Oryzias latipes: one gene and its partner. The protein of the gene in region 1 purifies or fractionates together with the protein of each later gene. This does not show direct contact. Links are inferred from orthologs where the notes say so. Each region holds a gene or a part of one and is shown on either strand. Other genes may lie near its edges.

Region 1 (5,007 bases):
TTGCCTTTTTTTGTTTCTGACTTGATCATTTTTTTAATCGATTTTTGACTGCCAAACAAAAGTACATGTCATCAGGTCTGGTTCTGATTCAAAAACACTTTTTTTTCTCTAATGTTTGCTTAAAATATATTGCTGTCATACATTTATGCATCAACACCCAAGGATTTGCATCACAGCGCAACTTTTGTCTTTATGTTCTCCAAACTACATTATCAGAAAACATTTTAAAAGTGTTCTCACACCTAAATAAGTTTCCTGGTGACCCTCAGAGGAGTGGTGCACCAATGTGTCAGCTGGACAGTCTTCTTATAACCGGCCCTGTTGCTTTTGACCCTTTCGTCTTGACCTATTGCTGCTTATATCTAGCAGTAAATCAGTCTGCCTGCTGTTTCAAAGGCATTTCACTCTGACTGCACACATTTTCATCCTTTTTTTTAAATTATATTTGTGTCATTTGGTTGGTGATCTAAATTCACAATAACCTTTGAAAATAACATGTCGCTACCGAAAACCGGGAAAAGATTCCATTTGAAAGCAAAATGTAGAAAATAAGTGTTTCTTGCTGCAACACAAGATGGCAGTATGAGTTTGTTTGTTCCTAGCTATTATTGCACATCTCTGCAGGCTGGACTTTGTACCAGACAGAACACAAGTTGCACAAATGTACCTAAAAGCACCTTTTTACATGAACGCAATCACAAAGTCCCGTCTTTACAGCTTAGAAGTTTACCACTGATGTTTCTGCAGATGTTTGTAGCGAGTCAGTATGAACACAGAGGACTAACGAGTCCAATTTATGTCATGAAATGTTTCCATGTTTTTCTCTAAAATCAATGCATCAGTTTCGTTCCGACTCAAACGTCGAGGTGCTTGAACTGTTGTGAAACAGACAAAAGAAGATCACCACGAGGCAGCACTTGCAGCACTGAGTATATCATGGATCATGAGTTTGACTCGCTGCAATCTAATCTTAGCTTGACCTTTGCGTCCCTTCTTTGACCTTAAGCTGTAAAGCGGCGGCTGGGACTGGCATGCTTGCACTCGGAGGGGTTGTGATAGTTCAGCTATGCCAGGACCACTGGACGTCTGCCACCAAACCCGCCGTTGCTGCTCAGCTTCAGAGCAGAGAACCGTCTCTGCAGCCTGCTGAAACATGCAGAGGAAATCTAAGCGAGCGTTTGTCGGGTCTGGTCTGCTTGTGCAACACGTGGGGAAAATCTAACACCGTAATCTTGGGAGATCTTTTCTTTCTGATGTCAACATTGTTGACAGAACAGGGAGTCAAAAATAGACTTCGGAAGGCAGCTGGCATGCCTGAGCCTTGTTGTGTTTTGAGACTGGTGAAGAAAGCAAAGATTATTAATCTCTAAAAGATAAAATGTGCTCTTGCAGATTCCTTAGCTGCAGCACTTTCAAGATAAAGTTTTACTATAGAGCCGTTTCCAAATGTCCACACAAAAGTCACAGTTCAGGTGAGCAAACTGACTCCGACAAGTTCCTCTGCACGACTCAAGTTGAGCAACTGAGTTTCAACTTTTGACTTGAGCTGAGGGGATAAAACGGCAGAAAAAGAGGCACGGCAACAGAACCATTCAAGTGAAGGGTCATGGTCTTTGAACATTAAATGTCAGCGTCACTAAGCCAGAGATTTGATCCCCCATTTGCTCTCTCCATGTGTCTGCATTCAGTGAGAAGGTCAGCAGGGACCCCTCTCTTTTTTCAGCTGGAGGATCTAAATCAGGACCTCCAAATGCTTCAGACTAAACTGACAGCACATATTTTGAATTAGAATAAATGCTCTAAAGAGTTAGGACTGTAATTAAAAGTTAAATATGAAGAAGAATTGAAAGGAGCTTGACAAAAATGGGATTTCAGAGCCTGTGTCTGAGCAGCTAACGACCTTGACATTCACAGGGGGCGGGGTGAGGATCGGTGACCATTAAGGGGTGTGGCTTTGTCCTGAGGGGGCCATCATAAATACTCCCAACCAAACTTTGCTCTTCCCCACTCACACCCGGAGTCGCAAGACAGACAGAAGCGTCTCACAAACGGTAAAGGCTTCAGCTGTTTCTGGCAGCATGACTCTTTCATTGAAATCACCTGGAGACAATTGATGCAAAACAGTCACTTTGCTTTGTTTCTGCTTGATTGAAGCTGTTTAGAAAGTTGTAAAGTGTCATGGAGAAGTTGCAGCAATCAAAGTGATCCAAAAAAAAAGGACTTGCATGAATGTTTGAGGCCTTCTGCTCATCTTTCTGCCCAAATGATGTGTGATTTTAAAAAAAATATTTGTTGCATAGATTTCTAAAGGATGTTTTTTTTAAATTGTTATTCTTTAATCTCACAGAGGACTAAAGATCAACCCAGGCTAAAATGGTGAAAGTTGGTATCAATGGGTAAGAGCTTTTTCTCAACACTTCAAGCTCACAATGCCACATTGTTCTTGATGCACTTCAAATATTTCCTTTTTAATCATTTTATTTTTTTAATACATTCCTGGAGTGGTTTTGCAAAACGTTCCCTGAATTGTTTGATTTCTTAAAATAAGGATCTCTTAATGAAACTCTGAATGTTCAGACTAACTTTAGCAGAGTTCCAAGAAACCTTGAGGACACTTGATTTAAAGAACAAGCTCTGGTTTACTAAAGAGTTTTTAATTTTCCCTGGCGATCAAGACGTACATGGAGCTGAAGCAATTGGCATCCAATTTGAAGGTGGTGTGCAACATCTGAAGCAACAAGTGTCCCCTGATGCATTTGAACAAACCTTTGCGCCATCTGGATGTTTTTTGTTTTCTCTCAATCTCTGAACTTTGGCCTTTTGGTAGAAAACTTTGAGTTTGTTTCACCCCTTCAACTGGACAGACGTTTTCTTCTACTCTTGGAATTGAGTAGAAATGAAGCTGAATATCTCATTGGATATTGAACTATCACAATCCTGAATCTTTAGTGTTATCTGCCAGTCCTGCTGGCCTCTGTTTTAGACCAGGTTTTCAGGACTGTGGTTAAAAAGTAACCCGACCATTGATCAAACCGCAGCTGTGGCGTCATCAGGATTAACACACTGGCGGTTCTTCTGACTTTTGCCCCCAGAAAGGGGCGTGTGAGCATTTGAGCGGCATGCAGCCCCTCCTCATGAGCTCTGCCCTTTATCTGACTGCAGATTCATGTCTCCTGGGATGTTATGCATAAGCCAACGTGAAGGAAGGAAACAAAATGGGGTTCTTTCAGTGAACCGCGTTTGCTCGGGTTCACCTGAAAGTCAGCACTAGCGTCCCTTACTGAATGATTTCAGGTTATTAGGCATTGGCCCCTTTATGTCACTGCCACTCAGACATAACTGCACAGATTAGATGGCCTCAGGACGCCATCTAGAGGCCAGACTGATACTTGTCCTTCCACATTTCAGTTTTGGCCGTATCGGCCGTCTGGTGACCCGAGCTGCTTTCACCTCTAAAAAGGTGGAGATTGTGGCCATCAATGACCCGTTCATTGACCTGGACTACATGGTGAGTGAAAGACATTAAGTCTTAAATTAAATGGGGGGGGGGGGGGGGGGAGATCTTGTATTCAAGTTATTTTTGTTTTAAGGTCTACATGTTCAAGTATGACTCCACCCACAACCGCTTCAAGGGTGAGGTCAAGGCTGAGGGAGGCAAACTAGTCATTGATGGACACCAGATCACCGTCTTCCATGAGTGAGTTAATGTGCCAGTATTTAATAATCAGTGATTACTTTTTAGGACGACTAAAAGAAAGTGATTGGATTTTTCTTTGCAGGAGGGACCCTACTAACATTAAATGGGGTGAGGCCGGTGCCCAGTATGTTGTGGAGTCCACCGGTGTGTTTACTACCATTGAGAAGGCCTCTGTATGTATGCTCCCCTCTGGATATCATGATTTTTATTTATTTATTTATTTTTGGATCAAGCAAATGCGGAATAATCCTCTTTAAATCCCAAAATGCAGGCTCACTTGAAGGGCGGTGCCAAGAGAGTTATCATCTCTGCACCCAGCGCAGATGCCCCCATGTTCGTCATGGGAGTCAACCACGAGAAGTACGACAACTCTCTCACGGTTGTCAGGTAAGATGACTTTTAATCTACAAAAGGACCGTCCATTTTTGGATCTTACAGCTCTGACGCCAATGTTTCTGCTTTTCAAAGCAATGCGTCCTGCACAACAAACTGTCTGGCCCCCTTGGCCAAAGTCGTCCACGACAACTTCGGCATTGTTGAGGGCCTGATGGTGAGAGCAGACGCTCCATTAAACGATTTTTGCTGCTGAATGTTCAGACTCATTGAACCCACCTCCCTTTTTGTCTTGGTCTCTCTTCAGAGCACAGTTCATGCCATCACTGCCACCCAGAAGACTGTGGACGGACCCTCTGGTAAGCTGTGGAGGGACGGCCGTGGTGCCAGCCAGAACATCATCCCCGCCTCTACCGGAGCTGCCAAGGCTGTGGGAAAAGTCATCCCCGAGCTGAACGGGTGAGTCCTCAGTGGGTTTTTTAATATTACAGCATACATGCTGTCAGGGTCTTAATTAAACACTTAAAATTTCTACAGCAAACTGACCGGCATGGCCTTCCGTGTGCCCACTCCCAATGTGTCGGTGGTTGATCTCACAGTCCGCCTGGAAAAACCAGTGAGTGACCACAAATCCTTTTATTTTTCCTTCATATGGATTTATTATTATTATCCATATTATTATCACCAGGGATTAAGATGGAATCTCTTAATAAAATTAATCTGCAAAACTGTACAGTTTCTCAGATTTTATTCACTTTCAACATCTACCTTGTGGGCTCTTATTTTCTGCTATATTCCGTGGTCTATATGGTAAATTTCAGCAGGTGAAGGTTAAATGAAATATGCGTACATTTTGCGTTCACCATTTTTTTTCTTTTTTTTTTAATCCAGATGCTAGTCGGTTATTATGGTTTATTTTATTTATGGTTTTGTCTTTGCCTACAGGCTAAATACGATGACATCAAAAAGGTAGTCAA
Region 2 (5,035 bases), on another chromosome or scaffold:
ATGTTTCTTTTTCTTTTTCTACACTGAACATAAATTCCAGCTCTGTATTTGTTAATAAAGTTCGAGGCTCTTTAAACACTCAAGATCTGTGTTGAAAAGGAGAAAGACATTTATTTACCCAGAAGAACTCAGACCACAGAACACATGTCTGATGTTTTCTGATGTCATCATGGTTTATAGGGATGAAAAATCCTTGAACATGAAGTTAGCTAATCAGTTATTATTAGCATGCTAGCAGGAGCAGTGGGACTGATTTGGCTTAGGATGCAAATCTCTGACGTGCGTGTTGGGGGGGGGGGGGGGGGGGGTGTTTACAGACGGCACACAGAAGGGAAACCTGAGACGGTGCCTCCAACATGTGAGTGACAAACACTCTGCAGAAGTTTACTCCAAACAGAAGTTCTTATTTTAGCCGGACAGAAAGCGTTTGTGTGAGGAGAACGTTCCAGTGCAGCGATGAGGTCACACGCTGAAACTCTCTTCTGCTTGACAGCAGAGAAGAGTGAAAAGACGTTGGAGGGAGAGGTTTCAGTTATCAAACATCAGATTTCTGGGAGGCACTCAGTGGTTCGGCTTAGGTGGGTTGACGCAGGGCCCCGTTTCTGGAAGGACCTCGGTCGTGGGTCCTGCTGTCGGGGCGTTTTGGCAGCGAGGAGCTGAACAGTGTTGGATAAACATAGCATCACTTGTTCAGTTGGCACGCCCGGTGCCAGCTGACGAGGAGCTGCCAGATAAAGACGGCGTGGGCCGGGCCCTGCAGCGGGACGGCTGATCAGCCCGACAGAAAGGTCTGAGCCCACACACACAAAACTACAGCAGACATGGGAAAACCAACAAAGCTGCCATCGATCCTGTAAATGTAAAGCAAATCCCCAACAGATCCACTCAGACACAGACAGACAGACAGATTGACAGACAAGACAGACTGACCTTCGTCCATAAGATTTCCAAATAAGGCTTCTGTCTGCTCCTGAAATGTTTGGACCTCTGAAAGAGAAAACAAAGGAAGTGCACATGAGAACCCGACAGGCTGGTTCTGAACGTTCTGCTTTGTTCTCCAGTCAGACACAGAAGTGGGCTCGGATTGTTGTGATGTTCCGGCAGACGTGAGGGCCGGATGGCGCCGAGGCGGTGTTTGATGGGCAGGACACAGAGCGTGCTCACTTTAGATTTCTGCTGTGTGGACGCTTTGCTGCAGAGCCACTCATTCATATTTCAGTAAGTCTGGTCCATTTCTGGACTAAAGGTTGACGAGTGAAACCCGTTTGTCTTCAGCTGAACAAAATCTACACAAAGCAAATTATTCCTGGACACGATTGCATCACATTTGATTTGAGGTTTCTGTTAAAACGACGTACAATGTCTCCTTCTGTGTGGAAACAGAACTCGCAAACACAGGAAGCTGCTTTTTGAAACTAAAAATTCATCTCCACATAAACCGTCTCGTCTACAAACATAGGCAGAAAACAGGGCTACGGTGTGGGAACAGGTAGACGGATAAGACCATCGATGGTTCGGGGCGTGAAGGTGAACACCAACGATGAAGGAAACCATAAACCATAAACATCTTCCTGTCTTTGTTCTGCCAATGGTTTGGTTGCAAACAGACCAAAAAGTCTGTTTCACCAACAGCTTCTGCCTCCATGAACCTCATGGAGGCTCAACAATCTTTAAACGCATCGCAAAAGAAAACCATTTCCCTTTTAGAAGCTGAAGAAATATAATCTAGAAATAGTTTCATTAATTAAGAGATTGGATATTTTTCTCAAAAGATTGGAAATTATTATTATTTTTAATTGATGTTATTTAAGAAACCAAGCAGAAACCTAAATACAATGTTGAGTAAATACAAATTGTACATTTTTTTGTATATATTGAATCCTTCAACTATGTGATGAATCTTTTGACAGAAAACAAGAACATCTTTTGTGCATCACAGAGCGAGAGGCGGAGCCTCAGAGATGGAGTCGTCCTACTTCCTGATTGGAAAAGAACTCAGGAAAATAACTAATATTTAATTTTAAAAGAAATGTTCTTTTGTGTCCCAAAATATATCATCATATACATGGATATATATATTTTTTACTATAAAAGGCTTAAGAAGAGCCTGGTATAGGCCCTTAAAGGACCAAAACATAAACACACAAAATGAATATTTAAAAAGCAAATTAGTTTTAATAAATGTTCAAAAGTGCTATTTGTGAAGAAAACATTCCCGTCGTTCCCTTTTCTCTTCTATGATAAGAAATTAAATATCCTGAATGACAAAACTAAACAGAGGAACATCAGGACAGGTGAAGGGGGATTCAACACAAACGTTAATCCACGTTAAAACAGTGCAACATAATGTACGCAGGGAAACGGTTAAAAGCATCTTCTGTGCTCGCCCACGTCACGCACAGCATCGGTGTGCCAACACGGCCCCCTGCACACAAAGTGCCAATTCAAGCCACCTTGGGCAGAAACATGGAGCTGGTGAGGATCGACGCGCTTCACCTTTAGTGTTGTGCACATTCCTGGTTGCTACGCATGAGAGCAGCCTGAACAGGGAGTTCCAGGGTGGAGCTTGTGGAGCTACACTTGTCTGCTTGGATTTCACTTGGACCACAGACATAGAGGTAAAGCATGTATGCAGCCCCTCTGTGCCACGCTGCTCAGGCCTTTTCCATGGAAACCACACACTGCTGCTGGAGCTCTACGCATTCCTCCAAATACTGGATCATATTTCCCCTCCTGCCACCCCCGCCCCCGCCCCCACCCCTCTCCCCTTGGAAAGTACAAGCTTCTGAGCGGCTGGAGTTCTGCAGCAGATCCAGAACGAGGGTTGTGTCCAAACAAACACCAGCAGATCCTTAACAGCGGGAAAACGTCAGAGTCCAGGGTGTTTGAGCGACTCCACTGCAGAAGCAACAGAAGGAGCCCGGACAGCAGCCAGGCAGGCTAAAGGGTTAATCAACTCGCCAGTCTGCACAGGAAACGGGAGGCAGTTTAGGAGAGTCATTAGAGCTTCACCAACACTGGGTAATTATCCAGTTTCTCCACTCAGGAACTATTTGACATTCCACGGGGCGGTTGGTTAGCAGGTATAGAAAGAGGAGTCAAAAAAAAGTGCAAGTTTGCAAAAGAAAAATCCTCAAAACAAGAGAGCCCCAGCTCAGAAACCTAACCTTGGCTCCCCGAGAGGAAATGAAAGAAGAAGAAAAAAATCCAGTGTGAAGTCTCCCCCTTCACTTTCTTCTCGGTTTGGATTTCAGTGATGTTCTTTGTCCTGGGGAGCGTGGTCGGTGTCAGCGCCACTGGCTGTGTTTGTCTGAAACACAGAGCTAAAGTCCGCATCCAGCGCGAGTCTTTATCTTTGTCTCTGCAGGCTCAGCCCTCACATGTCTCAGCTCAGCTCCAGCTGCATCTCCCTGCTGCTCCTGCAGCCTCGTGTCCTCTGAAAGCCTGCAGTTTGCCTTCTTTCTCCAGGCTGGACATTCTTCCTCCCTCTGCCCCCTCCCTCCGCCTCACTGTGGTTGTGCAAGTCTCAGATTTCAGCTGGTATAGCTGTAAGCTGCAGCACCAGCTGACCCCTCTGACTTCATACCTCCTTTCTCCTTTAGTGCAGCCCGTTTCTCCTCTGTCCACGTTTTAAATGTGAGCCAGAGAACACAGGGCTGCGTTCTCTGGCTCACATTTGCTCTTCAGCATAACTTACTTACACACTCTACAGCAGCGTCTCACCTTCTCAAAGTGCTCTTCCTGTTTTTGAGAAGCACTCTAGGTATGTGAAAAGCTCGCTCAGCGTTTACCGTTCGGAGCATCGATGCTGAAGATGCAGCACATCCCAGAGTCAACATCTGCTCACGAGAGGACAAAGAGGAGAAGCTTTTCTTTGTGCTTCATTTCCACATGGACCAAATCTGTGGAATTCCTTGCCCACCGTATGCTAAGCCGGAAGGATTTTTTCGCCCCCTCAGACTCAGTTATTTTCACAAATCTGATAAGAGATCAAACACGTCTGCAGCTGCATCAAAGACGGAGCGTGTCTGCTTTCAAAATCTCTGTCTGGATGTTCAGGCAGCAGTTTTTGGGAGGTCTGCAGTCAAACCTGCCAGTGGCTAGCAGACAGTGTTGTGAGAAAACAATTCTCCTGCTACATCTTAACATCTTGGCTTCAGTGCACATTAAAGTTTCCTTTATGCCAACGCAGAAACCCTGAATTCTGATTTTAAGTAATACTTTTAACAAGACTGCATTAGCTTAATCTAAAAAAGCTTTTTGAACGTGCCAACTCTTTTTACAAATTCAGCTCTTAAGCTAATATACAAAAAAAAAGAAGCACAAAAGGGACTAAATGTCATCGACACAGCAAGTTTTCATAAAGTTCCAGCAGGACCGGAGAACTCTGTAGAACATCAGCTGTTCCCTCGACCAGACCACTCATAGGAACAACCTGACTCCTTAGGTTGGGGGTCTCTTCTGGGCAAAGGGTCACTTGGTACCCAGACACAGAAAGAAAAAACAAATTTCCATTTTAGTCATTAGTGATTTTGAAAGCCATTTCATTTGGGAAAAACTACCAGATTCTCTCCGTGACACTTTATGCATGTAAAGTCGCTCGGTCACATGTCTTCCTACATGTGTGACCTTCCTAAAGAAGCCACTCAGGCGGTAAAACCAAAATAACCCCAAGATGACAAAAGAAACTCAAACCGAATTATTTGGACAATTTCTGCACAGTATAAGAATCAGAGAGATGACTTCAAAAATCAACAAGAAAGCTGCATTTAACAGATAATATCAGGAGTCTTAATTAAAATATGGATTTATTGGGACAGGTTGCTCTCACGCAGTGAGCCCTGTCTTATGTTACAAAGACACTGCTGATAAAATTGGACACAGCAGATTCCCGTTTATTATTATATTTAGAAAATATTTGTTATGGTGGTGGTCATATGCAACGTTTATTTATTCATCTCACCTTCAAGTCCGGTCTGTGGTGTAAAACTGATCAGGGAGCGCTGCATGGAGGTATTAAACTGAATCTTTTGAT

Evidence for each region.
Region 2: the proteins of gapdh (region 1) and siah1 purify together in Homo sapiens (affinity purification with western blotting; 4 studies listed by BioGRID). This does not show direct contact. The link is inferred for Oryzias latipes from reciprocal best matches to the Homo sapiens genes GAPDH and SIAH1.

Annotation. Positions count from the first base shown.
Region 1 is NC_019874.2:20,245,650-20,250,656, forward strand, and holds the start of gapdh (glyceraldehyde-3-phosphate dehydrogenase), read left to right. Parts: upstream 1-1,968; 5' UTR 1,969-2,051; intron 2,052-2,347; 5' UTR 2,348-2,373; coding exon 2,374-2,396; intron 2,397-3,408; coding exon 3,409-3,508; intron 3,509-3,590; coding exon 3,591-3,697; intron 3,698-3,779; coding exon 3,780-3,870; intron 3,871-3,968; coding exon 3,969-4,084; intron 4,085-4,165; coding exon 4,166-4,247; intron 4,248-4,337; coding exon 4,338-4,489; intron 4,490-4,567; coding exon 4,568-4,646; intron 4,647-4,975; coding exon 4,976-5,007. UniProt on the Homo sapiens protein: Has both glyceraldehyde-3-phosphate dehydrogenase and nitrosylase activities, thereby playing a role in glycolysis and nuclear functions, respectively.
Region 2 is NC_019864.2:25,285,719-25,290,753, forward strand, and holds the start of siah1 (E3 ubiquitin-protein ligase SIAH1), read right to left. Parts: upstream 3,538-5,035; 5' UTR 2,615-3,537; coding exon 2,497-2,614; intron 988-2,496; coding exon 931-987; intron 1-930. UniProt on the Homo sapiens protein: E3 ubiquitin-protein ligase that mediates ubiquitination and subsequent proteasomal degradation of target proteins.